Struthio camelus: one gene and its partners. The protein of the gene in region 3 binds, or shares a complex with, the protein of the main gene of each other region. Links are inferred from orthologs where the notes say so. Each region holds a gene or a part of one and is shown on either strand. Other genes may lie near its edges.

What was found.
Region 1: TRAPPC8 (region 3) and TRAPPC12 share a complex: the UniProt entries of both Homo sapiens proteins name them as parts of the multisubunit TRAPP (transport protein particle) complex. The link is inferred for Struthio camelus from reciprocal best matches to the Homo sapiens genes TRAPPC8 and TRAPPC12.
Region 2: TRAPPC8 (region 3) and TRAPPC11 share a complex: the UniProt entries of both Homo sapiens proteins name them as parts of the multisubunit TRAPP (transport protein particle) complex. The link is inferred for Struthio camelus from reciprocal best matches to the Homo sapiens genes TRAPPC8 and TRAPPC11.
Region 4: TRAPPC8 (region 3) and TRAPPC9 share a complex: the UniProt entries of both Homo sapiens proteins name them as parts of the multisubunit TRAPP (transport protein particle) complex. The link is inferred for Struthio camelus from reciprocal best matches to the Homo sapiens genes TRAPPC8 and TRAPPC9.

Annotation. Positions count from the first base shown.
Region 1 is NC_090944.1:27,993,324-28,000,501, reverse strand, and holds the start of TRAPPC12 (trafficking protein particle complex subunit 12), read left to right. Parts: upstream 1-4,173; 5' UTR 4,174-4,264; coding exon 4,265-4,283; intron 4,284-4,425; coding exon 4,426-5,633; intron 5,634-7,178. Other genes in the region: EIPR1 (EARP and GARP complex-interacting protein 1), read right to left, coding at 3,384-3,425. UniProt on the Homo sapiens protein: Component of the TRAPP complex, which is involved in endoplasmic reticulum to Golgi apparatus trafficking at a very early stage.
Region 2 is NC_090945.1:50,752,917-50,760,708, forward strand, and holds the start of TRAPPC11 (trafficking protein particle complex subunit 11), read left to right. Parts: upstream 1-4,790; 5' UTR 4,791-4,921; coding exon 4,922-5,125; intron 5,126-6,079; coding exon 6,080-6,249; intron 6,250-6,599; coding exon 6,600-6,670; intron 6,671-7,792. Other genes in the region: RWDD4 (RWD domain-containing protein 4), read right to left, coding at 539-653, 1,023-1,167, 1,281-1,390, 3,951-4,031, 4,302-4,325. UniProt on the Homo sapiens protein: Involved in endoplasmic reticulum to Golgi apparatus trafficking at a very early stage.
Region 3 is NC_090943.1:142,843,519-142,851,008, forward strand, and holds the start of TRAPPC8 (trafficking protein particle complex subunit 8), read left to right. Parts: upstream 1-4,475; 5' UTR 4,476-4,615; coding exon 4,616-4,772; intron 4,773-7,490. UniProt on the Homo sapiens protein: Plays a role in endoplasmic reticulum to Golgi apparatus trafficking at a very early stage. Maintains together with TBC1D14 the cycling pool of ATG9 required for initiation of autophagy. Involved in collagen secretion.
Region 4 is NC_090943.1:168,238,626-168,246,535, reverse strand, and holds the start of TRAPPC9 (trafficking protein particle complex subunit 9), read left to right. Parts: upstream 1-4,894; 5' UTR 4,895-7,910. Other genes in the region: CHRAC1 (chromatin accessibility complex protein 1), read right to left, coding at 939-1,065, 1,582-1,716. UniProt on the Homo sapiens protein: Functions as an activator of NF-kappa-B through increased phosphorylation of the IKK complex. May function in neuronal cells differentiation. May play a role in vesicular transport from endoplasmic reticulum to Golgi.

The DNA of each region.
Region 1 (7,178 bases), on a different chromosome or scaffold from region 3:
ACAAAGGGTAAACTTACTGTATATTCCAAATTGGTAAATATAGGTCAACTCTGCAAAGAACAAGTAAGAACTGGATAACTTCGCTGGCAAACAATGGCTCTCAACTACACCCCTGAGATCCTGTTTATTACAGGCACATAACTCAGGATACTGATGAAGTCTACTAAGGTTCCTTTCAAAAGCATAACTTTTCTGTACTGAAGTGTTTTGCAGCTATTACTGTTGCCCCTTACTTCTTATCATGATCCATAGTCACATCACCCAGCCCTCATTTCATGAGAGGCAGCATCTCACGCTTTAACTCATTATCCATTACTCTGCAGTTGTCTCATTTTCACTGCAGTTGGAGGACCTGCTCCGGTTGTTGTCAAAGTTTTAAAAAACACCAAAGAATCACACATGCTAGAATTCACACAGATTATGCACGTTTGCACAACATTCATATAGCGTACTTAGACATTGAAGAGGCAGAAAACCACTCATTTTGAGAAACCACACTTTGTGGGTTATAATGGAACTGTGGGAGTGCATGAACCATATAAAAAGAAAAAGCTGCAGTCATCTGATAAAACAAGGGAGGGGAAAAAAGCAGATTAAAAAACCTAACTAATCAGGCAGAAAACTGAATTAATCATCAGTTTTAATCTTGCTTTGCCATTAGATGCTTAGCTTTTTCTCTGAAGAAAAGCTGCTTCTCACCGTTATTTGGTAAAACTTTTTGCCAAGTAATTACATATACCAAATAGTTATACACAATTGCAGGGCTCACGATTTATACCTTTAGTTTCCATTTTCATTCATCAGAACAGTGAATGATGGAGTTCTTCTAAGGAAGACACTCTTATTCTGCTGAGCTTTATTTTGATGAAAACTAGATTCAAATAAAAAAAATAGTAAATGATTTGTCTACTAGTAATCTTAGTTATGTCGATATATAAAAAATACTTGGCACGTAAAACTGATAATAAAATTATTGCAGTTTGATTTCCAGTAACTTAGTGAGTGGAGCACCCCAGAAGCAATATAAGCTTTATGCTGTCAAATTTTAAAGTCTGGGCACACTGGATCATATCAAAAGTATATCAGAGATTGGTACACTGTCTGTGACAGCAGTCAAAAGCAGGTTCTTACCGACTTTTGGAGACAAATGTGGTTTCGTAGTCTGCAATCCCTAGCAGAGCTTGTAGATTTCACAGTTTTACCACATATCGTTTTTATTCAAAGCAAGAAAGCAGAAAACAAGTTCCCCTCCCAACCCTTTTCTTCTTTTAAAAAATGCTCCATCATTTCAAATCTCAACTTTGAATAAACAAAGCCCTAAACTCTTTTTTAGAACTGAAGTAAAGTCTGGAAATAACTGAAAGAGCCAAACACAAGCAACAACAACAAAAATTTTTTTCAATTGCACCAAAAATTTTTTCTGAAGATATGCATCCCTCAGTTAAGCGCTTCTGATGTATGCTGGAGAGAAGTGTAAGCTGTGATGACAGAGCCATTACGAAACCAGGCTTAAAAAGAATAATAATATCTTTTACTAGACCTGGTGACACAAGTTAGAAAAACCATACCCATTTTAGGTTTCAGCCTCTCCATTAGAGACCGTCTCAAAAAGTACTGAGATGTAATTTGCTTTAAGGCCACATTGGCAGTTAATGGAGATCAAAAATAGAGCCTCCATCTCTACGCTGCTTTTCTGCCTTAGTCATAAAACCATCTTTTCTTCTCCTATTTTGTTTCTAAATGCATTAAGTGTAGACTCTTGGATTACAGCTATCCTCTTAGTCCTTTTGCTCCATCCTCCCATCAGATAGTCCTGTTACATACTCTGCAGGAAATCAAATGTCTACAGGAGATGTATTTTTTTTTTTTTTTTGGCAGGACCATGGGGGTCCCAGACAATGGTCTTTCCAAGATTTTGGAAGACTTATTTTACACAACTGAAAAAAGAAACTATGATTTTCATTAAAATACAAGATATAGTCTACTCTGTGATGAAAAAGAAATCTATGCATAAATTTAAGCTTTATATTAATTTTGAAGTAAGAGTTGCAGCCATCTTTAGCCAATCACAAAACGATATCATATTATGAAGACTCTAGCAGATCTAACATATACTACAGATCAATGTTTACACTAACTAGTATAGAAATGGAAAACAAAATAAAACTACAGTTTGCTAAAGAGATTTGTCGATACAGTCCGGATTACTGAGCATATAACTAAATAGGCTGGACATTAAAACAGGACATCAAAACCCAGCCCAGGGAGCCACTGCAGGTTGCCAGAACACGTTCCATGAGCACTTTGGTACAGGCGGCTATAAAATATCTGCATGTGTATACATACAATTACTTAGATAACCCCATCCACTGCAAAATGAAAGTGTTGTTCTGTCAGCTGCAGGAGGAACACAGCACCTCCTGTTGATACTACAACAATGATGGTAACCCAGGCATTGCCAAATGGAACATGTAAGAGCTGAGTAAAAACTTAATTGTGGAAAAGCATTATAAATTAGGAGCTCTCTCATCTATGCAACTGTTTAACCATTTATTCTACTAGAACTCATACAAAGTTGTACGTGACATCTGTGCTCCTCTACAAAGAGGATCAACAAATTCAAAAGTTATTAAGAGTAACACAGGTAGGTAGCAGGATCACAGCATCATCTCCCTGTTGCTAGAATCAGCGATGTGACGGCCAAATTCATGCTGTGGGACAAATCCAACAATGCAGAAGCTACATCCAGAAATATCTACAAACATTAAGTAGTTCAACAGTTGGGTATAACCTAATAAAATCTAAAATTCATTGGAAACAGCTATATTGCCCTCTTCTCACAAGATTTTTTTTTTTTTTTTGCTTAGTCTGCAACTGGAAACCAACCACAGGAACATCCTTGAGATCCCCGGTGTTCCCCAGTCATCCCAGCAGGAGACAAGGCCTTCTCCAGACGGGGACATGCAATTGCTGACAGAGCAGAAGACCAACAGCCGGGCTGAACGCGACCGTTCAGGAAGCCAACCCACAAGCCCTGCTGGCACCGCCCTGACGCATTCACCGTGCAAAGCGCCAAGTTTGGCGGCAGGCACCAACTCCTGCCCCGTGCTCACCCGCTCACGGCCCGGCGCTGCCGCAGGGCCGTGGTAGGGGCGCGGCCGGCGAGGCGCAGCGGCGGGCGGCGCGTCCGGCCTCGCCTCACCCCGCCGCCGCCTCCCGCTGGGCACCGCCAGCGCCGCGCCGCGCCGGCCTCCGGGGCGGCCCCGCGGCTCTACGCGAGGGCCCGGCACCCCCGCACGGCCCGGCACCCCGCCCGGCCCCACAGGCAGCGCGCCTGAGGACCAGGCAGGCCCCGCCGCCACCGCCGGCCCCTCCTCGCCCACCTGGAACTCCAGCCCGTAGATCACCGGCGCGTCGTCCTCCATAGCTGCCCGCCGCCGCCGCCCGCTCGCCTCTCCCCCAGCCTTTCTGACCCTCGGCGCTGCCCGTCGGCCGCCGCTTCCGGGAGGCGCGTTGGCGCAGGCGCCGCCCGCCCGCCCGGCCCGCGGCGCAGGCGCGGTGGGAGCGGCGCTCGGCGCGGCGGCGGTGCTGGCAGTGCGGCGGTCGGCGGGGCGGCGCTGCGCTGCGCTGCGCTGCGCTGCGCTGAGGTGAGGGGCGGGGCAGGCGCGCAGCGCGGCGGTTGCCGTCGCTGCGGCGGCCCCTCGCCGGCCGGGGACCGCCCGGGTGGGCGCTGAGGCGGCCCGGGGGGCGGCGGGCCCGAGGAAGGGCGGCGGCTCCGTCCGCACCGCGCCGCGGGGAGGCGGCGGCGGCGGTGGCGGAGGCCGCTCCCAGCGCGGGCGGCCGCGCTGTGCCCGGCGCAGTGCAGCCGCGAGAGCCGGCTCCGAGCCCGGCAGCGGCCGCCCGGCTGGGCCTGGAGCAGGGCCGGGCCGAGGGCCCGGGCCCGGTCTGCGCGGCGGGCGGGGGAAGCGCCGCTACCTGCAGCCTCGCTGAGGTCCCGGCTGCCGCCAGAGCTTCTGCGGGGCCGCCTGGGCTGGCCCTGGCTTCAGCAGCCCCTGGCGACAGCTGCGGCTCCGCCGGGACTGAACCCGCTCTTCCCTTCTCGCAGACTGGGGCTGAGTTAATCTTTCCAAGTATTTGGCCTTTGCGAGGCCAAATACCTTTTTTTTTTTTTTTTTAAACCTGTGTTTCATCGGAAGCATTTGCTCTTGAATCCTAGTATTTTGGGACTTCAGAACAGTAAAGAATAAAGAGAAGACCTTTTCTTATGATGAATTTATTCTGTGGTAAATGCCGAGAGAAATGTCAAATAGTGAAGTGGTTGTATTTTTAAATCAAGTATTTGTTTAGCTGTTGAGTTTCAGGATAGTGATTTTGACTAGGGCTTCAGTAGCAGAACTAATTCTTCCTTCATTTTTCTTTCTTTAGTTGCAATGGAAAGTAATGGGAGTAATGCTAAGGATGCTAAGAACGCTTCAGATGAAGAGGACAGTGGAGACAGAGTTCAGCAGAAAACTCGGGAAGATATTCTCTTTCATGAGGAAACCATTGATCTTGGCGGAGACGAATTTGAGTCTGAAGGGAATGAAACCGTATCAGAAGACTCTAATAATTTTATAGATAAACTTAATGAACAAATGATGGAGAGTGTCATTATTTCAGATTCTCCAAACAACAGTGAAGATGACACTGGTGACCTTGGTTGTCTGCAGGAGATTGTAGAACAAATGGAAGCCAAAGACAACCAAAAAACACAAGCAGAAGTGGGTAAGGAAGAGTTTTTAAGTAATGAGAGTGAAACTGAACATGAAGAAACACCCAAAGACATTTCTGAGATTGGAACAGATGATCAGACATCTTTAAAGGAAGAATCAATTCAGGAAGCAGTGAAAGAGGAACTGAAATTGGTAAATAACATTCCTGTTGGAACAAGACCAAGTGATACTGATGAAAGCAAACCTAAGGACCAGCTATCATCACCCAGTACTGGCAAACCGACTCCTGAAGCTGAGCCTATCCCTGTGTGTACCATTTTCAGCCAAGCAAACAATGTTAATACTCAGCCACAGTTGTTCCTGCATGATGGTTTTGAGCCTCAGATGGTAAAATCTCCCAGTTTTAGTAGTATAACTGAGACTCCAGTGAAGTCTAATCCACAGGTAGTTCAACCAAGTCCTAGTCTAAGCAAGTTTTTTGGTGATACTGTTAACACTAATACTTTAGGTTCTGATTTTTTTGATTCATTTACCACATCCAGTTTTATTTCTGTCAGTAATCCCAATGCAAGCTCTTCAGTCCCAGAACAAATGTCCTCTATTTCTTCCACTGGAGACAGTTCTCATGCTTCGCCTGACCCTACTTTTTCTCTGGGAAATGGGAGAACTGAAGCAGGTGGTCCTCCAGAAATATCTCAATCCCCCAAGCCCTTCTCACAAATCCAGGCTGTTTTTGCTGGGAGTGACGACCCTTTTGCCACAGCCTTGAATATGAGTGAACTAGACAGAAGAAATGATGCTTGGCTCCCTAGTGAGGAAACTAGAAACGTTCTAATTTCAGTTGCCACACAACAATACAGCACTGTGTTCATAGACAAAGAGAATCTCACCATGCCCGGATTAAAATTTGATAATATCCAGGTAAGAGTCTGTGATTATATGTTAGTCTCTGAATATATTTTAGAAATATTGAATAAGAGCTTTCCAATAGTTGTTACATCATCTTAGTGCTTCATATTGTTGCCTAGGGGCACCTTGTTTGTATTACTCCAATCCTTATCAGAAAATTTAGTGTGACTGCCTACTCATACGTGAAAGGACTAAAATAAGATCTGATGTATTCGTAGTGAAATTCTTTGGGTACATTGAAGACCAGTGTTGACAGCTTACGTAGAATCCGAAGCTGGTTGCTATTTTTAAGTCTTTTCAGTTAGTTTCGGCCCGTTCTAGTTGGAAAGATTATGCTCAGATTTGGAATATAAACTAAATCAGAATGCTGTCCTGTGAAGTCTGAAGGCAGACAGCTTTGTTTGCTTGTGGAATTCACTGTTGCAACCAAGCTGGAAAGAACGTTTTTTACAGTGATGTTCACAGTGCTGTGGATAATGTTGACACTGACTGGAATTGCATCATTTATATCTTTCCTAAGCAGTGGAAAGGCGTAAGCTATAGGAAAGATGAGTGCTAGAGCCAGCTGCTGGGAAGGAGCGGCATTCCAATTAGATCTTGAAGGGAAGAGCATAGTAGTGGAAACCCATTTCCTTCTCTTGTACCAGAGTTCACAACTGATGAGAAAGCATAAGGCTTTTCTTCAGAGTTCGGAGAAGTTTTACTTAGATCTGTTAAACGCTTCTAGTGAAGGAATTATATATCCTGGCAGCTCAGCAAAGCCAAATGGAGTTTTTTCTTGAAATAGGCAAATCCTACTTTTCCATATCTACGTCTGAATAGTAGAGTTGTCATCTAGAGAGGTAGTGTTGAGGGTTCAGATATTTAAGCCTTAATAATAGCATAACAAAGATTATCAGTTGGTAGCAGAATAAGGGTTCTTGCAGAACGGTCTGCAAGAACTTCTCAATTTGCAGTAACTATCGGAAAAGTTCCTGGAGTGAAAGTAGTTCGGACTTGTACCTGAATTATTTAAAAAATCTTAAGTTTCCTTTTTTGTGTCTGTCACTGAAGCAACAAATGAAAGATTTAGACATACACCATGCTGCTGCTGCTGCTGCTTCTTGGGTTAGCTTTATTTTAAAACGTTTGATTGTCATTGTAGAACCCAATCATTAGTGTGAAAGAAAATACTGTGGTAATATGCACCTCCTCCTCTACTTCATTCTACCTTCCCAAAAAATCACTTAGAGCTTGATGAGTAATTCAAGATTGTAATATTTCTCTCCTAACAGCTAATGAATGAAAAGAAAGAATATTTTCTTCCATGAGCCCAAAGGACAAGGTCCCTCTTATTGTGGCCCTCCATTTTTGCAATAGTTCTTTCTCGCTTTCTTCAGTTGAGTCAAGGCTTAAAAGGTTACTTGCACTGATCATCCCCTGAATCTAGGTCATATGCATATATGCAGATGTACCATTCAGTACATCATTGAAAAGAAGACATTTCAGCTGACCCGCTGTAAAATCAAGGAAGGACTCAAAGGGGATTCCTGCTACTTTCTTCATGGATTACTGTTT
Region 2 (7,792 bases), on a different chromosome or scaffold from region 3:
ATTAAGTGGGAACACATACAAATCCTCTGCAGAATCAGTTAAAAAGCTGAACATTTTTCAATTAACACATCATTTCATTAAAAGCAGAGAGCGTCTGCAGAAGCAGCTCTATTTTGAGAATATAAACTAAGTTAAATGTTTTAGCATTGTGATCTGAAAAATAACGTTACCATTTAGAAATTACGTTCTTAATAACGTGATTTACTTATCAGGGCCCGTTAACAAAACGCACACCTTTTAGATGTCCCAAATGCTCTCCCCAAATAATATTTTCGAAAATTGCACTTTTGTTACAAATTAAAAAGAAATAATAATAATAACAAAAGATATCTTAAAATTTGTACTCTGTAGGAAGCTGTTTTGATCAGAACTAACATTTCACATAATTCATGTAAAATAAGTAAAACAGAGATCATAGATTTAAAGTAATCAATTTTATAAGCAAAGAGACTACTGATCCTGATTCCAGCAAGACGTCACTGCTATAAAAGTTAGACTCCCATACTGCTCAAACAAAACAGCGTTACAGCGAACAAACCTGTTTTGTCAGCTAGCTTTCGTTTCTGAGTTTTGGATAACTGCTCCTTTTTATCTTTCTTCTTACTTGCTGGCACATCAGGAGTTCCAATTGCAATACTATTGCTTGCTGAAGTCTGAGAAGGATAAAAATTGCTATTAATATTTTGCATTCACCTATCATACTTAAGAAGCCAGTATAAATACAGAATGAAGATATCTGAATATGATTACTGAACCAGACCTACTGAAATATCTTGACTGTCATATATATATATATATAAAAATATATATAGAAAAATTATGACCACAGAACATTGTGGCACCATATTCCATGTGCCACTGTTTACTTACTAACATGTTTATATGCAGTATACTGATTAACATGTTAAAGACGGAATGATAAAGTATTTAGAGTTCTAATAACCATTTTTTGCTATTTACATATAAAATATTTGAGAAGTGATTTAAAAGCAATAGATTAGGATCTCAGTTTATCTACTTACCACAGTGTTAACAGGCTGATTTTCCATGAACAATTCTTTATTATCTTTGGCATATTCAAAAAGCGTATACGTCATAGCAGTTCCAAGATTAGCTTCAACTTCTACCATTAATTTATCCAATATGCTTTGTTTAACTGTTGAAGATCTAAAAGAAATCATAAAATTCAGTTACAATCTTGACAGAAGAAGAAAAGTTTGTCAACCAACAAATCTCCCCAATATATAAAAATAGGGAGTGAAGCTGTCCTAAATATTTACATTGTGTTGTTGAAGAAAGCATCCATCGATATGACTGGTGCTGTTTGTGGATATGTTTCTGGCCAAGAAACTTCTATTAGAAAGGCTTTGGGATCTCCATTTTCACCTATCTGGAGGGAGAAGAAAAACCTCATAAATTAACAGTTTTCAGTTGCTCATTAAAGATTACAATGCCAGTATGTGCATCTTTCACTTAAGACTATTGAAATTTCTTCTGAAGATAACAACTATTTTCATGCTATTACCTGTCAGAAAATAAAGCTCTTATCTAGAAAAGAAGTATTACATATGAACATTAACCTCTACTCTGCAGTTTTCATCCTATGAAAATGGAGCAGAAGCATTCTAAGTTATTTTTATGGAGATGTTGCTTGGTTTTAAATGCTTCTTTGTAGTGTCTACAAGGCAAATACTACACAATCATATATGAGAAAAGAAAATATGAAACCTTCTTTTTTCTCCATTATGAAAATAAACCATAACACAGTGGTGAAATACAGAACAAAATAAATTAATGACCTAAGACAGCACAAGTAATAGGTAAAAATTTTAGTATTTTTGTCTTACCCTACAGATATTTTAGCTTACAATAAGAAAGAATGACTCAAAAGAACAGTCAAGAAGCCAGTAGAATGAAACTAGGCGGAAAAGAAAAAAAAAAACATAACGTTATGTTAAAAAAGGCTCACTTTAACCGAAATAACATCTAAGTCAAACACTCTCTCAAACACTTAGCTTTAGTGATTCATTTAAATTGTATTTATGATCCTTACGATTATGTTAACTTCTGTGAAATAAAAACTAAAACAATTTTTTACAGAAAATTAGTATAGGCTAACAAAAATGTACCACAGAAAAAGAAATAAACATTTCATACATGGATTTGTTACACTACTGTAATTAAGTTGGTTTAGTTAGTATTTTAAAACCACAAGAAGAATTTCCTTAATTTTAGAAGCGTCAAAATCTGGCTTCATCGACCTATGCGGAATGAAGTGCAGTCAAAAAAAATTCCTAATCGAGACAAGGCTACTGCACTTTAAAATGGTTCAAAATTCAAATGATCCCATTTCAATATTTTGAAATCAGTGTTTTTCATTTTGTTTACGGTCTCTGTGTCAGCAGAGTAGACTAAGTGATATTCAGTGGCATCTGTTTTAGGGTTAAAGGCATTAAATCAGGACTCTGCTACATTTATCAAGACATCATCCACGGTGAAGCAGTCCACTTCCCAGAGCCACCATGAAGAGAACTGGTGGTATGCTTTACAGAGTTTTCCTCATGTCAGGAAAACACTGCCTGCACATTACAGAGTAAAACCATAGAGAAAGATGCATGGTTACCACTCCTCCTGTCAGTGCAGCCTGCAAATTGGGCAGCCTTACTCTGAATGATGCTGCTACATTTTCCTCAGGATTTGAAAAGTCTTTCTTTAATCTCAATTTTTTTAGCACAGTGATTACAAAATACCTATGTGGTAGGCAAATGAGGTTCAGAAAAAGAGCATATTAATTCTTTCAACTTTATCATGCAGTTAATCGTACTATACTATCTTATAATGCACATTTTCTTTCACAAGAAATATGTGCTATGGTCTCTATCTGACACTAAGTATATAATATTTAAATTGGGTTCTCCTAATTTTTCCATGATTATTCTCTGTCTATGAAAAATTAGCAAGGACAAAAGCTAGCCAAATGTAGAATGCAACATTGTATGTAGGCAGGTAGGCAGGCTACATTTACTCTGCTGAGAACAAAAAATTTGCAAAGAAGCAGTCCTATCAATAAAGGAAGACTGCACTTGCATGGGTGGGATTCAAGTGCTATTTCCTAATCAACCTTTCTCATTACAATTAAAGGTGCTATTCTGAAGTCTTAAGAAATCATCAAAATGTTTTAGACGCCTACACCCCACTTGAGGGACACAGCAAGTTCAGAGTTTTTGTCCCATGTGCACCTAAGTTTTCATCAGTGAAGTTCTCTGACAGTCCAAAGGTTTGCCTCAGCCCACGCCCAGGAGAACTTCCAATTCATCATATTTGAGAAAGACGGCAAGAAATTCATGCCAAAGTGAATTGCAAACCTCAAACTAGAACCTCCTGCACTTTTCCCCAAAGCCAATTACACCAGTATACATACCGAAAGCATTTTGTGCATTTTCCTCCTTAGCAGCTAGAAAAGGCACATAAACTACCCCCAGAGAGAAAATGAGAACCTTGCAACTGAGCAATAAGGAAGGCGCAGACTTTACACATACGCTTTTCTGTAACTGTCATTTCCTACTGGCTATTGCAAGTATTACTCGGCATGCTCTGGCCAGTTTGACAGTTCTGTGCGTTACATACGCTATGCGTTAGACAGATGTGCAAGCAGATTACCTAGTTAAGGGATAATAAACGCACACTGGAGGCAGGTGCCTAAATATTAAGCGGTGTGATATCAAGCATCACCGTACCAAAGATTCTGGAACAGCAGCCGACAGATCTAGCCTTTGGTGCCTTTACAGCCTGTGGAGCACCCCTTTGCGTTACAAAAACTGCGCTGTACCTACAAAACGCACAGAGTAACGTCACGCCGAAGAGGATGTTGCACCGTCCGACAGGAAAACATCTGCGTCGCGCGGGCAGCAACGCCTTGCCCCGACCTACAGAACTTCACGCTGCCTTACCCTGTACTGGAAGGAAACCGGGCTCAGCTCCCTGAAACACGCGTCTCCTTCGTATATAGACCGCAACGCTTCCAGTTCCATCTGGAGGAAACACGAGAGAGCGATTAGCCATTTCAGCCGGGGGGGGGGGGGCGAAGCTCAAGACGCGGCCCCGGGGCAAGGCACGACGCTAGCTCCCCGGCCGAGGCCGGCAGCGCCCGGCACGGCCCGGCGCCAGGGGGCCTACCTTCCTGACGCCTGCCCGCGCCGCCCCTGCCGCGCAGGCCGCTTCCGGCCGCCGCCTGCCCTGGGCGCCCCCTGCCCGCACGCCAGGCCCCTCCCGAGGCGGGAAAGGCCGCCGGCGGACCTCACCTCCTGGTCCTCGTTGGCCGCCATGTCGCGCGCGCGGCGGGGGGAGGCGGCGGCGGCGGCGGCCGGAGGCCGGAGGCAGCGGCGGCCCCCTCCGCCCCCGCCCCCGCGGCCGGTTCGCCCCGGCAGGACCCCGCTGTCGCACAGGCAGCGCGGCGCGCAGGCGCGGAACGGCTGAGCGGCCCCGCCCTCCCCCCCCGCGAGATGGCATCACCTCACCTCATTGGCTCTTTTCTTCTTCCCGGCCTCACCTCCCCCGCCCCTCTCTTCCCGTTGGCTGGCGCCGCCAGCCTCGCCTCGCTTCCTTCTCCCGCTGACTGGCTGCTTCTCCAGTGTCGTCAGCACCCGTGTCCCCTCTGAGTGGCTGGAGGTGGGGGAGCAGGGGCACCTATTGGTTGCTCGTGCTGCCCGTCCGATTCCCGGCACTTGCTTCGGCCCGCCCTCGCCCAGCCGCTCCTAGGCGGCGGCGGTGGCGGTGGCGGTGGCGGTGGCGGGCTGTGTGGGGTTGAGCTCGCCGCGGTGAGCGGGGCCGGGCCGGGAGCGGGGCGCCGAGCCGAGCCGAGCGGCGGCGGCCGCCTGAGGTGCCGGTGCCGCCCTGCCGGCCGCGCGCGCCGAGGCCGAGGATGACGCCGGCGCAGTGGGACTTCCCGGTGGAGCTGTGCTGCCGGCCCATGGCCTTCGTCACCCTCACCGGCCTGGACGTGGTGTACAACGCCGTGCACCGCGCCGTCTGGGACGCCTTCTGCGCCAACCGCCGCGCCGACCGCGTGCCCATCTCCTTCAAGGTGCTGCCCGGCGACCACGAGTACCCCAAGTGCCGCACGAAGGTAGCCGCCGGCCGGCCTCGGGCCCTGTGCGCGGGGGCGGGCGCGCAGGCCGGCGGCGTGGCCCGGGGAGGACACGGGGGGGGGGGGGTCCGCCCCGGTGCGCCGTGTCCACCGCTCGCTGAGCTGCTAACGGCCCGGGTGCCGCTCCCTCAGCTGGTGTGAGGGGAAACGGGGGAGCCTGGGGGCCTGGGAAGGCTGTTGGCGCCTTTCGGCCGCCGTGGGGAGGGGGAGCCGCGGTTGCCGTGGTACGGATGTGTGGGGAACCAGGTGGCCTTACTTCAGGAGCGGCGAGCAGAGCACGTTAACGGGACTTGCCGTAAAAGCGCTTGCCCGTCAGTTGTTCTGTTTTTAAGGTACTTGCAAAGTTTGAGCTGTAATGAAACCTTAAGTTGAACGCTAGAAAACCAAGTATTTGAAATTAGCGTGTCCTGGAAAAAGTGAAGTCTTTACCTGAGTGGGACACAGCAGAAGGAGTTGTTGTGCTCTATTTTCTGCTTTGCAGGGGCAGTTAAGAAGCAATATCGGTGGGTTTGATCCTTGGAAAGCCACGTAATTCAGTGATGCTGGCAAGAAACTAAACCTCAAACCGGTTTCTCTTTTCTTGTTTTGGATCCTTTTGACAGCTTCTTGAGCAAATGGGAAACCCTTTGCAAAATGGGCCTAGTACTTCACAGAAGCGCGTGAAACACTTCTGAACCTAACCCTTTTGTAAAGTCTACCTGGAATCTCTCGTTCTTGGTTACTCGTGTCTCTGCCATCTGGCTCTGATGCCTGGGAGCGAGGTGTATGTCCTGCTTGTTAGGAGACAAAGGCTTGAAGGGAAGAATGTCAAAGGAAAGATGACAAACGTATCCCCAAGTAGCAAGGATGTACAGGCAATACCCCTTCTCCTACTGTACTGAAAGGACCATAAACTGACCTGATGGCTTGCTTTAATGTGTTAAATATTTTCAGAGAACGTCCTATGAGTGGTATATTCCGAAAGGTATCCTGAAGACCGGTTGGATGAACAAACACCTGAATTTGGTTCCAGCACTTGTTGTGGTGTTCTATGAACTAGACTGGGAGGAGCCACAATGGAAAGAAAAACAGTCTGAATGTGCTACTCGAGTTGAAATTGTCAGGTAGAGCTATTTTGTCTAGTTCGTGATGTACTACAAGCTAACGGCGATGTGTAAATTGCAGAATCCTTGTGGCATTATAAAGCATAAATATTTTTTTTCTTAGGCACAAATTCAGGGCAACTCAAACTCCTTAACTATTGTTTTCTAAACTCAGCACAACTGTTCTCTCCCATGTGAGCAAAGAAGAGAGCACTGCATTCTGTGGATGATGCAGTGTATTGTTGCATTCGCTTTTATTTCTCGTATACAGTCTTTTAATGCTTCCATCTAAATTGAAATCTCATTTTCTTCTGATTATTTACAAACATAGGATGAGACCTTGACATTATGTTATGTTATTTTTATTTTAGGCAAAGTTTGCAGGGACGAAATACGAAAGTTGCTGTGGTTTTGATTCAGAAAAAAACACCGTTACCTCCAGGTACTAGAAAGCTAATTAAACTGCTCTGTATACAGTTGTGATGATCTCATTTTTCCAGAAGGCCTGAACTGACCATCGTTTGTCACATTATCTACGGTTCTTAATATATTATCATTTATGTGTGTAAAATGCATTTGTGGCTGCACTGAGCTGTACGAATGGAGTGAACGCTCAAGGCAGCTGACCCTAAAAATCTGATGCTTCTGTTTTTGACTATTTCCTCCGAAGTCCAAGTGAAGCTTTTGATACTGTGTATCAAAAATGATATGTTAGTGTAATATGCATAATGTGTCTCCTTGTAAGTAGTCTGTATTTTAAAGCTTTCTGGAGATAAAGGAAAAAAAACATAAAAGTAATGAGAGCTTAGAGGAAGGGCATCTGGTAACTACGGAACCCTTTAGTTTAAGACTATTCAAACACTGCTAGTGTTTATCAATAAAATTTTGGAGCATAAGGTAGGACTGCTTGTTAAGTTCATTCATGCCTTCTCAGCTAGCTTCTCTCTGGATCAGCCAACTTTTAGGCCATACCTGTTTGATAGACATCTGGCAGGGAAGTCATGGAATTTCTCGGAAGGCTCCTTCTCTGCTCTGGATTTAAAGGAGAGCAAATTCCCCTTAATGGAGGGGCGAAGGAGTCTTTAAAAGACAAGATCCAAAGTAGGGAATGTGGACAAAAAACACATGACTTAAGTGGAATTGTGGAATTTGGTGGGTTTTAATTTTAAATTTCACTCAAGCTGCTACCTCAGCTCTAGCTGCACGCTCTCTAGCGTTTGGTTAAGGTAGGGTGTTTTGGTGAGGGGTGTGTTTATGTGGGTTTTTTTTTTTGTTTGTTTGTTTTCTCTCCATCTGCTTCTGGATGCCATTTTAGTCTTCAAGATACAGGATGTTTATCTGTGTGGGAGATTAAAAATTTAAAGAAATATTTGTGACATGCTTCTACCTTATTACAGAAGCTTTCTGGAGTGGCTTAGCTAGCAATCTCTTCCACTGGATGAAGCATGTAGTGTTCTGAATGAAGTCAAGAAGGAACACGTACTCAATGTTAGGTGTATTAAATTTTCCATACGTTGTATTGGTCAAGCTTTTAGAGCTAGTTTGACCTTGCACTACACAGTGC
Region 3 (7,490 bases):
GAATGAAAATACTGGATTCAATTTCAGATTCCAGCATTTGCAATTTTATAATTGTTTCCTCTGCATTAAACCTGCTCAATAACACCAGCATTATTCTGTTAACAGGTGAAGAATCCCCTTTCAAGTCATCTGCCTCGACAGCAGCTCAGGGCACTGGTAAGCTCCACGCATTTTGGCTACGTGATCTGCACAGAGGAATCACAGAGCTTCTAAGCCTGGAAAATGTCTAGCCCAAAGGAGTAACAGAGCACTCAGCCAGCAGCAGAGAAGAAGAGTAGAGGCTAAGAGTTTTCAGGCCCAAGTGATACAGTAGCATCCAGTTTTTTACAACTTAAACTGTGGACATGTTTTTCTGCCTTGGTGATGTTTTGTTCTGGTTTATTGAAGACACTCCCTCTTATTATTTAGTTTCTATTTTTCTATTCACTCTTTTTTGGACTCCCCTGTCCCAGCCTATAGTACGCATAGTCTCACTTCGTTTCCTCTGTTCACCTGCTCTTTCTTTTGACCCATCTCTTCCTCCTTAAGAAAATAGTATTTTCAGTTAAATCATTCAGAGGGCTAAACCACGGATTCACAGTTTCTTATTACTAGGTCCCTTTGCACTTCTGTTCACTGTTCATCATACCTTCCAGGAGACTGTCAGACTTTAAAGGCAAAACAGCATGCACAAATTGCGAGGCTTGGGAATGATGCAAATAATTACCAATGATACAATATATCTCTTCTAAAGTGTCTTCTGTCTTGTAAATAAACATAATGTTATTTGAATCCTCTTTAGCAACACTATTTTTAGCAACAAATCTGGGATACAACACCCTGAGTTGCTATGTTTATTGAAGATGGGGTTGTTTATCTCTCATTAGTAGGGCAGACAAGTCAGAGCCTGAATCAAAAATTCTAGGTCATGGGAAAACACTAACTTGTCTTACTATAACACAAATTGGGAGATATAAAACTTGTATGACAGAATCAGTCCTTTGGACAAAGTCATACTAGAAGAGAACTGCTATTATCAAAGCAATACATTCTAAGGACAAAATTTCTAAGGCTGAGTAAAAAGAAAATGTGTACTAGGTGTTTTCATACACTGAAAATATACTTTGAGCACACAAATGCAGATTTAGAATGCAGTTACTCTAATAAGGAAACATTTACAAATCTTGCTCTATGTAAGCAACAAAATAAATTTCCATTTCACATTCTGTAATGGTTACCAGTGATCACCAATAGTCATATACTGCCTGATCAGAGAGCAACAAATAAATAGAAATAGAAACTGAATCTCTTCTAGAAAGACAAAACAATGGTCAGCATTTGTATTGTTTGTTATTCATATTCACCTTAGTGAAAGCAAGAAAACAGTATCACTTTTTTTTTCTGAAACAGAATTTTAAAATAACTTTTAATGTCAATGGCTTTGTGGATAGAAGTGGGACTTTTTCAGATTCACTTCAATCTAGTGTGGATAGAAGTGGGACTTTTTCAGATTCACTTCAATCTATTGGATGTAACGCATAAACTGTTCTGAAATAATGGATTAAGTGGAATGGGCAAGAAGCACTGTTGCTTCAGAGTGTCAATGTGCAAGCCATACTTTAAAATGTCTCTGAAACATTACTTTGGAAGAGCTCTTCCGTGAATTTCCAAACGTGGACAGGCCACAGATGTTTCACAGAATCACAGAACGGTTGAGGTTGGAAGAGACCTCTGGAGATCATCTAGTCCAACCTCCCTGCTCAAGCAGGGACCTCTAGAGCATATTGCCCAGGATCACATCCAGGCGGGTTTTGAATATCTCCAGGGAAGGAGACTCCACTACCTCTCTGGGCAACCTGTTCCAATGCTCTGTCACCCTCACAGTGAAGAAGTTTTTCCTCAGGTTTAGGTGGAACTTCCTGTGGTTCAGTTTCTGCCCGTTGCCTCTTGTCCTGTCACTGGGCACCACAGAGAAGAGTCTGGCCCCATCCTCTTGACACCCCCCCCCCACTTCAGATATTTGTACACGTTGATCAGATCCCCCCTCAATTTTCGCTTCTCCAGGCTGAACAGGCCCAGCTCTCTCAGCCTTTCTTCATAGGAGACATGCTCCAGGCCCCTCATCATCTCTCTAGCCCTCCGCTGGACTCTCTCCAGGAGTGCCATGTCTCTCTTGGACTGGGGAGCCCAGAACTGGACACAGTACTCCAGGTGAGGCCTCCCCAGGGCTGAGTAGAGGGGCAGGATCACCTCCCTCCACCTGCTGGCAACGCTCTTCCTCATGCAGCCCAGGATACCCTTGGCCTCCTTGGCCACAAGGGCACATTGCTGGCTCATGGTCAACTTGTCCACCATGATTGCCAGGTTCTTCTCTGCAGAGCTACTTTCCAGTAGGTCAGTTCCCAATCTGTACTGCTGCATGGGGTTATTCCTCCCCAAGTGCAGGACCCTGCACTTGCCTTTGTTGAACTTCAGGAGGTTCCTCTCTGCCCAGCTCTCCAGCCTGTCGAGGGCCCTCTGAATAGCAACACAGCCCTCTAGTGCGTCAGCCACTCCTCCCCGTTCTGGATCATCAGCAAACTAACTTGCTGATGCACTCTGTCCCTTCATCCAGGTCACTGATGAGTAAGTTAAACAATATTGGACCCAATACTGACCCCTGGGGGACACCGCTAGATACAGGCCTCCAGCTAGACTCTGTGCCACTGATCACAGCCCTCTGAGCTCTGCCACTCAGCCAGTTCTCAATCCACCTCACCGTCCACTCATCTAGCCTGCACTTCCTGAGCTTGCCTTTGAAAATGCTATGGGAGAAGGTCAAAGGACTTGCTGAAGTCCAGGTACACAACATCCACTGTTTCTCCCCTCCTCTACCCAGCCAGTTGTCCCATCATAGAGGCTATCAGATTGGTCAAGCATGATTTCCCTTTCGCGAATCCATGCTGACTCTTCCGGATCACCTTCTTGTCCTTCACATACTTAGAGACGGCCTTCAGTTCCCTTGGTTCTCCTTCTTGCCCTTTTTGAAGATTGGAGCGACATCTGCTTTGTTCCAGCCCTCAGGCACCTCTACTGATTGCCATGACCTTTCAAAGATGATTGAGAGTGGCCTAGCAGGATGTTGACCTTTGACTTGTTCTAAAAATCTACTGAAGCCAAAATATTCTTCCCCTATAATACTTAGCTGCTTTTGGGTAACGTTTCTGGGACTCAGTCTGGAAAGATGGTGAGTAGTCTAGCCCATGTAATTAATAATACAGTGAGACTACAGCTTTTCCTTGCTGCCTACATTGAATTATCAACCAATTTTCCACTCACAGAAGAAGCTGCTGACCCAACTGGTATAGTTAACAAATTTAGTAATTTAGGAATGAGTGTTAGGAAAGACAATTAGATATTTTTTCCGAGTTTTGTTTTCCAATTAGGATATATTGATTCTGGTATCTACCATAAAAATCACCTCATCTTCTTTTTGCTTTTTTAAGTCTTATACATGAAGATTCAGCAGGGAAATTAGTTGTGCATAAACAGTAGTTCTAGCAGCAGGAGAAATGGTGAAGCTTGGCTTCTTGCCATTTTCTGTTCTTGTTTACAAGCTTCATCCTGAGGCCTGTCCCTGATAGCATGTTAAAACTCCACCCTACTACAGTAGTCGGTGAGCATGTATTCAAAATTTACTCATTTTTCATCACCACTGATCATCGCTGTTGTCTTGCTTCCATGTCATCCATCCTCACCTGGGCCACAGATGTAAAAGTAAGGCCTTGTATAATATCATGCCTTAATAGGCAAGTCTCAAAAATGAAGCTACGTTGCATGCTACAGACACCCAAACAATTCTTCACTTTTTAACCATTGTGCCTATTTTTTGTTAAAAAAAAAACAAAAAACTTCCCAAACTGTTCTTCTAGGGTACTAGTTCTGCACTAAAAAAAAAAAGCAGAACTGTTAGCGACTGAGCACCGCTCTGCAAAAGCATGACTGATCCAGCCTTCCTCTTTTCTGGCACCTAGTCCGTAACGACCAATTTTTCTGCGGAACAACTCGCACCGCCGTGTTCGTGCTCTGACCCCCACAGCGGAGCTGCCCCAGCCGCGGAGGCCGGCGGCCGGCGGGCGAGCTGCCTGGCCCGCCCTGCAGCCAGGCCGGCCCTGCTGTGGCTGACCCGAGGAGGGGCGCAGGAGGAGCAGTGCTAACCAGCCCCTCCGCTGCCGGCTCCCCTGTGAGGGACCCCGGGAGGCAAACACCGCCCGCCGGCGGGGAGGCGGTTGGGAGCAGCTCCCGCGCCCTCAACACGGCCCAACTGCCCCGGGGGCGCGCCGACAACTCCCCCTCTCACCAACGGCCGCCCCGCCTCATCGCAGCCCCGCCCCTGTCACCCAATCACATGAGCGAGCGCGAGGGCTGCCGGGAGCGGGCGCTACCTGATGGGCTCGTCTTAGGCGCGACATGGCGGCGGACGGTTGTTGAGCGGCCGCGGCGGAGGCAGAGGCAGCGCGCGGGGGAGGCGGCTGGTGCTGGAGATAAGGGGAGGCCGCGGCGGTGAGCGGGCAGGCAGCTGGCTGGCCGGCCGGCGGGGCGGGCAGAGGAAGGTGGCGGGGCCGGCTGAGGTCCCCGGGCGGCGGCAGCGGCGGCGATGGCCCAGTGCGTGCAGTCGGTGCAGGAGTTCATCCAGGACTCGTTCGTGCCCTTGGTGGCCGCGCTGTGCAGCGAGGAGGCGGAGAGACTCACCCGCAAGAACAACCTGAGCTTCGCTGAGCTGGTGAAGCCCTTCTGCCGCCTCACCTCGGAAGGTCGGTGCCGGGAGTGGGGCCGCTTGTTTACGTGGGGGCGGGGAGGGCGGCGGCGCTGCCTTCCGCCCTCCTGGCCCGGTCAGTGGCCGGCGGGCCAGGGCCAGGGCGGCGAAGGAGTCTCGCCTGTCTAGGCCTGGCCGGGGTTGTCGCCACCCCTTCTCTGTCCTGCTGCTTGCCAAGGTTGGCCCGAAGAGAGGGAGGCAGGTGGGACCCCTGCCCCTTGGCCAGGGTGGTGGCAGCCGGGCCAGCTGTTAGCCAGGGCTGGTGTCATGACAGGCTATGCAGAGGTGCAAGGTTGCCAGGGTTGCCTGAGGTGACTTGTAAATCTGTCTAATTGTATTTGATCTTCTCTTTCCTGTGGAGCCATGGGCATTAGGCAGCTCTTGGAGACATGACAAAAGGCTGAAGGGAAAGGTATCTTTACATGTGGTTCTTCCAACTTTTTTTTTTCTAGCATTGCACTGTTGTCTCACAAATATTTACAGCTGGAACTTTTTTTTTGATTTCTTTTTTTTTTTTTTTGGAAATTATGGTAAGGCTGTTATTAAAGAGAGACAGTTACTGAAAGTGTAACTACTCTTTTAGAGTGTTAATTGCAATTTCAGCTGTAAGTCTTTGCCTTCTCTCCCTTGTAGTTCTATCAAATGTGATTTTTGTTGTTTTTCTGTGTAACACCTGTGTAAACAGAAGGAGAGGGATGGACTGCTTATGTGGCATAGAGATAAAATGACTTTAGCCAAAATAGTATTAAAACTGGAAGTTGACCACTTTAGAGAAACTGTAAGGCTCCTTTACTGTAACACAAAAAAAAATTCCAAAGGATGATTTGAACTAAGCTGTACTTTTCAGGATACTGCTCATTAAAACGGTATGCTGAACAGCAATCAACAGAACTGCTCAACAGAGTAGCAGTGCCTTGGTATTTTATCAGATTTGGCTTCTAGCAGGCACTCAGCTCAGAGGTTTATCTCTTACTGTGTTATGTTGAGGAAACATTGCAGGAAAACTAAGCTTGTACTGTTACTTCAGCTGAATTCTTGTATTACTGTTTAGGTGAATGGTGCCAACTTAAAAGCTAGTATGTGTTGAAATCTATCTTAATTCTGATGCAAATCTTAGCAACTTATTTATAAACAAGTTATGGTTAAATATTATTAATATTTTTCCCTTTTGTTCTTTAGCAACACTCATGAGCCACATGAGAATATAGCACAAATAAAAATAATAATGCAGAACCTCAAATCCTTGAAATTCTCAGATTTCTTAAATATCTCTTTAGGTTCTTTAGCAAAAAAGCTTTCAGAATGCATTTAGCGAACACAACCAGGTAGGCAATTCAGAATGGAGTATTCATTCTGAAGAATATTTGCTCTGTTGTCACTTAGTTGTAAGTGTTTTTATTCTAACCATTGTAACAGTTAAGGAACTTTCAAACCTCAAGCCTCTTCAATGCTTCCTGCGTAAGTGCCATAATATAACACGCTTATCAACAAAATCAGTTTCATCCTCCTTTAAAAATTTTATTAGTTAATTATGGCTAAAGATCAGATTCCCTCCGTGTGTACAGTATAAGATTTTGATCTTATTTTTAAGAGACTGATACTGACTGAATTTCTATACTGTTCTAAAACTTACGTAGAAAAGCACTGATATTTGATTTCTGTAACTTCTGATGGTTCTGTAATTGCTCTTCTCTAAGCTCCATGATGTAGTACTATAAATGAACACCCACATGAACTTGATGTAAATCCCCATGATAACAGTTTTCTTTTCTTAACTTCATAGCTGTGACTATGTCATGATGAGTCGTTGAGAAACAGTGCTGCTCTTGTTCTCTCTAGGATTGGACAGTCTAAACTATCCTATTCAAAACTTGACTTATGGGTCAGAGAACTGAGAATTTGAGGTTCATAGCAGTGGATTTTGTTGCTATGCTGCTCTCTAGGTATTCTGATTCAATAGACTGCACACTTGACTGCATTTCTGCACTTCAAGTGTGACTTCCTCTTCTAGTTTCATGGAAAATACATTATTATACTCTAAGTAACTTCTTGTCATGAAAGCCAGTGTGAATGAGGGTAGGAAAAGCAGTACTAGACCTTTGGTTCAGACAGAAGGGTAGATCAGTGCGATAAAACTTCTTAAGTTTGTATCATGGCAAACAATTTCTGTAGCTCTAGAGTTTGTGGGACTTTATGATAGGGAAACTTAGCTTATCACGGTTTGTGCAAGCACTGTTACATTTACAGTCATAGTGAGTGACGTTGTTAACTGTATCCCCTGCAGAAGACCCTGGAAACATAGGATAGGTTCTAAATTGTACATTCATAGGTTTGATCAGACCATTTCTGCGATGCATGTAATGTCCAGATAAGAGGCAGAGAGACGTGATTAACAATATGATTGTAAAATAGCGGGATGTATGCATATATGCATCTAGCTGTATAGCCTTCACAACTGTGGTGTGTTGTATTGCTTGTGGTTTGTTTGGTAGCTTCAGTTTTAAGCCCTTGGAAGGGAAGGAAATATTGTGTGAGTGAATGGCTGGTGTTTTTTTTGTGGGGGGGGGGAACTGGTACTCCGGCCTTTATTTAGTGGCGACCTCATTGAGTTCTTAATGTAAAATTGGGTTAATTTTTATTTCATCTCTTTGGAAATTAGCTCTCCCTTGTACTCAGCAAAACCTCAAATTATAGAGGAGCTGAGGAAGTACCGTAT
Region 4 (7,910 bases), about 25 Mb from region 3:
AATTATCTCATAAATACTGTTGCATCCATATCATTACTGAAACAAAGTCCAACAGAGGCAATTTTGAAAAGTTATTATACTTTTAGCGACTAACCAGATTATTCACTCTGGCTTATGAACAAGCTGTGAGAAAAGGAGGGAATTGCCCACTTAAGGTACAAGTAATCAAAGATGAGGAATATATGTTATAAAACTGATTACAGACCACTCTCTTTACTACCTAATCACTTCATTTTACTTTTACATCAAATAAAAATGAGTGCTCATTTAACTGGATAGCCATCCCATTTATGTTCTGTGGAAATTGTTTTTCTGTACTCAAGGAAGGTATTGTTCAGGGCAATAATGATGGACCTGTGACAAAACAGGACTGCATGCTCTGAAAGCATGCCCATAAGGTGCTCGGAGAAAAACTGGGCTAGGTACATCTCATCCTCAACCCATATCCTTTTCCCATATCTGTTCTGAGCTAAGTGTTAAAACAAAAATCTCAGTACCAGCAAAAAATGTATATGTGCGTGCACACATATACTTACACACTAAAAAGGGGGAGTGGAACCAGAGAATGACTCTCTTTGAGAATTAAGATTTGTAGATTTACATCTGTAGTTTCTGGGATAACAGAAGTTGACACAGAAAGACCTAAAGTGATCTCATTTTATAGGCTTGAAAGCTTTCAGATTGCGTTGTTTGCATCTAAGAAACGGATAGAGCAATACACAGAGGACTAACAGGCCTTGTGTAGTTTCCCAGCACTGGAAAAATACCCATTCTTTTGCAAAGAAGTGTTTTCAGTGATGTAGTTCATGAGGTACAGTCGAATGCTGTACAGGACACTAACAACCAGTAGGAGAATCGTGTCCTCACAGAACGCTTCTGTGACAGCACCGTTTCATTTTCCAAACTACATCCTGGATTCACTATTACTCTACAGATACCTGCAAGGAACTGAAAGGTTTCACACTCTTCCGCGGTGTGAGACAGGTCACTGTAAGTTAGAGCGCTCTTCTCCTTGCCTCTGCCATGCTTGTAGGAGTAGGTAGCCAAATACTGTACAAAAAGCTCCTAAAAATCAAAACGAAGTCAACAGTCAAGCAGTGAATTAATACATAGAGTTGGTAGCAGTTGTCGTTAATCCCCACTTAACGCCCTTTGCTCAACCGTACGTATTGTGGGACGCCCTGCGCAGAGTCCCACGGATTTCAGAAAGGCTCAAGGTCAGGATGTAGCTGAGGGAACTTCACTCGCGCTGCTCGCCAGGGCCTCCCGCAGCCCAGCAAGCCGCAGGCGGGAGGGGAAAGCGGCAGGAGGCGGCCTCCACACGGGCTCGTTTCCTGAGCGCGGTGGAAACGCTGGCTCCCGCGGGCCCTGGCGGCTCGGCCGCAGCGGACGGCGCCCAAACCCCCCACACGACAAGCAGCCAGGAGGGCGAGGCTTCACCTCCCGCTTGCGCGGGTAGGAAAGGGCCGGAGGGAGGCAGCGAGAGCTGCTGCGGCGGCGGCGGCGGCGCCGTTGGGCCCGGCCCCCCCCCCTCACAACCGGGCCCGGCCCGGGAGGGGAGGTGAAAGGGGCGACCGGTACCGTGGCCTTGGCGGTGAGGAAAAGAGCGTCTTGGTTGATGCTGGAAACCTCCGGCGAGCTCTTCATGATCACGCGGATGCGCGAAAGGGGCAGCGACACCAGCCGGTTCTCGCCGCCGCTCAACCGCGCCGCCATCTTCCCCTCCTCCTCCTCCTCCCCCACCCCCAACCCCGCCTGGCCTCCGACCGGCGCCGGCCCTCCAAACCCGGCCGCGGGCGGGCGGGGATTTGGGGGGGGGGGGGAATAGGCGGCCTCTGCAGCACAGCCTGCTGGGAACTGTAGTCTTCGGCCACTAGAGGGAACGCCGCGCCCCGCGGCTAAGCAGCGAGGCTTGGACTACAAATCCCATGAGGCACCGCTCCGCCCGCCGAGGAGAGGAGGGGGAAGGACTACAAGTCCCGCCGTGCACCGCGCCTCCCGCGGGAGGAGCGTTCTTCCCGTGATGCACCGCGGGCCCTGAGGCGATGGCGGCGGCGGCGGCGGCGGCGCCGTTGGTTCCTCAGAGCTCGGCCCGGCCCCGCCGTCGGGGTTCCCCTTCCCCGGGCCCGGGAGGGGGCTTCTCTCGGCGCCGGCTGGTGCCCTGCTCCCTCCCGCGGCCCCTCCGCGCGGGTCGTAGCCCCAGGCGGGCGCTTGAGCTTCGGGAGCAGCCCCGCCTCTGTCTACCCTAATTACAGGCCACTGGCTACCAAATTATTCACGGATCTGTAATCGCAGGTGGCTAAATACCGCCTCAGCTGCTGTAGGGACAGTCAGAGGGAGGGCTGTGACGCTCGTGGGAGGTATTTAGATGCGGAGGGCCCGTGGAAGGTATTAAGTGATAATAGGGCAGTGTCTTTGTTATTAACACGTTCGGCCTGTGCAGGAGCGTACCGCGGTGCGTCTCTGCTCGGGTGACTCGTATCCCGCTTCCCAGCGGCTGGCGTCCGCTCAGGCCCACCGAAGGCAGGGAGGGTTTTGCTGCTGATAAGGCTGGACCGGAAAGTTCGCGCGTGCCTGTGAGGATGAGACCTGCCGTACTCTGCCTCTCCGCGAGCAACTCGGCGCTCGCGGAAAGGATAACGCGCTGTTTGCGTTTCCTTAGTGTCTTTATTCAAAAGTTTTCAGTGCGCTTTACGAGCAGTGTGCCTGATTGCGTGTGTTGGTAAGAAGTCTGCTAAGGTCACTTATTTGATCGCCGCTTAATAGACGCGTAGAGGCTTTTCCACGGCGTGCAGAAATAGTACGTGTCGAGTTTGGGGCAGAAAGGGAAGTGTCAGTAAAGAGAATTGTATTAAATTGAAAATGCAGGGAATTTGTTAGCAGGATATAATCAGCTGATGCAGGTTTTGCCCAGTACATAAGGACAAGGTTTTCATACAGGTGATGTTGGGTTATTAATGAAAAATAACATCTTCAGCACATGTCGATACCTGAGTGCAAGGGTGATGTGACAGTTCCAGCACTACAATATTTGGAGACGTCTTTTCCTATTAGTCTTTAAAGACAATCTAAATCTCTTAGACTGCAAAGATCCCTTGAGGTTACAACTTTGTTGATGCTATTCTGTGGCAGTTACAGCTAAAGCGAAGCATAACATAGTATGATGCTATTTTGCAGGCTCAGTTTCTTTGATCCTTATCTACTTGTGACATCTTGTGGAAACAGTTGACATTGCCATGACAGTGAATTCTGCTGGTATCTTTCATGATTTCAGTATATGAAGTTACCCATGAAACTACCAAAATTTCTGATGGTGTTGAGCCATCTGGATATGGGTTTAGGAGCCATGTAGATCCTATAGGAGCTAGGCACCTGTCAGTGGTCCTTTTACTCAGTGGTGGACAATGTAGCGTAAAGTGGTCTGGGCAAATCGGGACGTGCTCGTTTTTGTCTGGCTCCTGTCCCACTCTCAGGCTTTTCCCTTCACCCACCCACTGCTCCCAGAGTCAGGGCCCATGGGACAGCTCTGTCATTCAGCACGGTGCTGGGAAGAGGAGGGCGTTCGACTGACAGAGGACGGGAGTGGGAGCACAGCAAACTTCTGGCATCTCTCCCTTCCCACTGCTAATGCAGATTTGGTTCGCAGGAGGCAGAAGCACAATGCATGACACAAAGTGGATGTGTACACGCTCTGAGGATACCATTATACTGCAACGTTACTGGCACTTAATAATTATTTTTTTAGTACGTTTTGAAATGGCAGCATTACTGTGGTACCAGTAACTGACTGAACCTGTTCCTAATTAAAAAAAAAAAAAAAAAAACCACCCACAGATCTGTAGAGTTCAAACTAGAGTTAGTTCTTTTGAATCAGGACTGAACTGGCACTGTTACTAGGAATTATTCTTTAAACCTGACTTGGAACCCAGCTGAAATAAGTATCTTTTGTGATGAATTCGAACAAGTTTCACTGAAAACTAATATGCCCCAGTGGAAATCTCTTCAGCATAGAGACTATTTGTACCAATTACAAACTGCAGAGCACTGTCACATCAGTCTCTCCTTTTCTACTCCTGCTTGGGTCACTAGTCCTCCTTTTTGCTGTGCTTTGCGGCCTTGAATAAGAACCTGCTCAGTGGAGGTACTTTGGCACCTCAGGTGAGGTATAACTACGCTGTGTCTGGAAACACAATGGAGTGACCAGAGCTACAATTCTTGTCCCATAGTAAGGAATTGTTCCTTGTCACTGCCACCTGCCTACCTGAGCTTCCCTGCAGCGATCTCACTTGTTTCACTCTAAATATGTATCTCTGGGTTGTGTATGGACGTATTTCCCAGGAAAAGAGAAGAGATTAGACACGTTGTGCTCATCCCTCTCTCTCATTTCCTTCCTGCGCAGTGCAATGCCACAGTTTCTGTCGAGCTTCTCAACCTCGGTTTCCTTTTTAGGGAACTGGAGAGATGCTGCAGCACTGTGTTAACAGTATAGGTATTGTGCAAGCTTTGGCAGAAAAGGAGGCTGGGGTAATTTTCCTTGCTGCGGTCTCACCCTGTAGCATGGCTATTTTAATTCATTATCTGTGACGCAGTGCATATAAATCCCAGGTTACTGGTATGAACTATTAGTGTTCTGAACCAGAACAAAACTGTAACAAATTCATGGGCTGAATCTGAAACAGAACCTAACTGAAGAAAATTACTGATTTGACTCCCTAATTTACCAATTTGACTTCTCCTGTCCTATACTGAGTGGAAGTAGAGCTATTGTGGTAGTAAAGCTTCCTCTCAGTGAATAGTTGGCCTGCTCAAACAGGGACAGAACTCATTCATATGTACTAGTGAGCTGCCTGAAACTAGAAAAGAGTGCTGTATCTTTGAAAAATGCTTTCCTGTATCATTCCTTTATTGTATGGTATTAAAAGAAAAATCATGATAAACATGATGTATCACAATTCCCCATGGAAGGGAATCTGGAGAAGGTGTCTGCAGAATTTCCAAACGTCACTGAGATAAGTTAGAGTATTATCGGATAAAGAGCAAATATATTATAGAAAGAGCATGAAGCAATTCTAGCTGCACTGAAGCTCTTCCAGTTATTCCAGAGAGACTGTGATGAAGACTGCACATTCACATTGCTTGGCAAAGCCAAAGAAGTTCACGAATACATTTTCTTTACACAAAAGTGGAGCATAGCTAAAAAAATTGACCATTATGTTGCAAAGTGGCATTTTAAAACCAGCCCATGCACATTTAAGAGCATTGAGAGTAATTAGAGAGTAAATTATTTATGATCTGTAATCAGAAAAAAGACTATTGACATTGACCATTATGTTGTGAAGAACAGTAGGAAAGTGCTGGACCAGTGAAAAAATGTGTGTGAGTCAGCGAACAAGGGAGGAAGCAGAAGTCAATCTGGCAAAGCATAAACGCAGTATCTGGATAAGCAATTGGCACATGCTACAGTAAATGTAAAGATATATTAAAATAAAAAGCTGTTTATCATGAAATGCATACCATCACAAAAGACATTAACTATGCTGCAGTAGTGTTCTTGGCATCTGAAGCACAGCGATACGGAAGTAGCATTCACAAATAATGAGAACAGTTTATAACGAAGTTTATGATGAAGCAGAAGCGTTGTCTTGCACGAGGAAAAAAAAAAGTGATTCTGAAGGCATTTGATGACGTGTTATTGAGTGGGGATGTATAAGGCTGTATCATACTTGGAGATAAATCTGAGCCGTTGGTAAAGTAGATGTTAATGCACAAATGCAAATAGAAAATGATTGAATTGACAGTGGTCACTAATATGCCTAACCATTTTGAAGTTTCAGGTAAGACTCTCAGTGTAGGAGTTCCTCCGTTAGAAAAGCTGAAAGGATGAAGATTTTCAGCTTCAGAAATGTTTGAATGGGAGCCAGGTTTTCAGGCAAAAAATGCCAAGTCTGATCTTCCATTTCCGATTTTGATAGATGCCCATTTAGGTAACTTCTCTTCAGACTCGCTCCACCACCTGGGATTATGCAGGACATTATATACCCACAACCTGGAGGGTATCAGGAGACTGAGTAGCTTAACAGCAGTGTCAAAGCTCTAGATCACTGTGTTTACACAGCCTCAATCTAAATAATTTCCTAGAGATGCTAAAATATTAGATGCTCCAATTTACATTAATCGTAACTCTGCCTTTCTGCAAGCCATTTATCACCATCACCTTTTTGTCTTGCAAGAAAAAAGTGTGAAACAACAACAGACTGCTGAGATGAACTACGTCAAAAGCGTGTCTGAACCCCTCTCCAACCAAGGGTACAGAGTAGATTCATGAGTAACGATCAGCATTGGCTCTGTTCAGCTGAGCCCAAACCTTTAAGGTGCTTTGGTATCGCTGATACCACAACAAAGTACAAAGTGAAGTACCTGCATCGTTATTGTAGAAATAAATGTAGCAATCATGTTCCTGTGAGAAATGCTCCCAGTCACGTTCCTGGCAAAAGTATGTGAACAAAAAATGATTACTTTGTTTATTTAAAACTGTCACCCTCTACCCTCTCCATCCTAAATTTGGCTAAGCTTGACTATGGCTATCTTCCCTCCCGAAAGGGGTGTGCAGCTTCCTACCTTTGTATTCTTTCTGAAACAGAATGGCTCCATTTGTAGTTTCATCTGTATTATCCCTGAATTACTGTTAAATCAATTCACACCAGTTCACACCAAGCAATTGCTTGTCCATAATCTTCAAATAAGTGTTAATGCTATTGAAGTTACCGTTTCAATCTACAGTCCTTATCAGGCTGAATTTTTCAGTCACAATTGATTCCCACAGTGAGCTATTTTCTAGAATATAGCTAAAACTATTAAACTATATGCTAGCTGCGAAGACGAGAGATTTCTGTCTTAAACTCCCATTGTGACAGAACCTAATGCTGTGACACATTGTCCTACAGTGGCCAGTTTTTCAGTGCCTTAGGGGGAAAATGAGTAGCATGCTGGAAGAGAATGTGACATCCGGGGAAACGTGTCTGCTCTCCTGGATTACTGTGGAATACAAAAATAAACAGCTTCGTAAAGTGAGGTTGGGAGAGGTTTTGGGTGTTTTGTAAGCAGGGATGTATTTTTTTTAAAAGTAAAACTGTTACAGAAAAGTCTGGTAGCTGAGTGTTGATTTCCAGTTCTCTCCATAGTTGTCAAGAGGCCAGTAATGTGCAAAGAAGTGAGTTTGCATTACGTCCCTTGTGTCTTCACATGCATCTGTGAAGCTAATAAATGCGGTGCTTTCTAAGGAGAGACACCTAACTGTCAGCTGAGAAATCCCCAGCTCCTTTTTTTTCACAGAGGCTTTTGACTTGTCACTGGGAAATACATGTGTTCAGGTTATTCAAGTAATTATCATCCTAAATGGTTTAAGAGCATTCATTTGTCTGCATTTATATATAACGTTTGTGTGTTGGAAGTAGGTTTGTGCTCCTATGACCCTTCCCAAATCCTTTAATCTTTCTCCAGCAATATACTTGTGACAAGGTCTCCTGAATAGTGAGCTGTAAGGAGGCCATATTAACAATAATTAACTTAAATGACATTTTCTGTCCAAAGCTAGTAGTTAACTGTATTTTCTATTATCCCGAAAGTGTTTGTATAATAACTAGTTCTAAAAATTGTTTTAGAAAAGTTAAACTTGGAGGTAATTCAACTCATTTTCATCCCTCTCTTTGGGGGAAGGGCAATGTTTGCACCACGTGCATGAACCGTCTGCTGAGAAATGAAACGGCGACGTTCTTTTTCATCTGACAATGTTTCATCAGACTCTCTCATGGATAGAAGGTTTATCATTTAATATCGCTTTAAAGCGAAATCGATCCGTCGACTTCCCGGATTACAGCAGATTCCTCAGCGCGTGGTGGGAAGTAAAATGG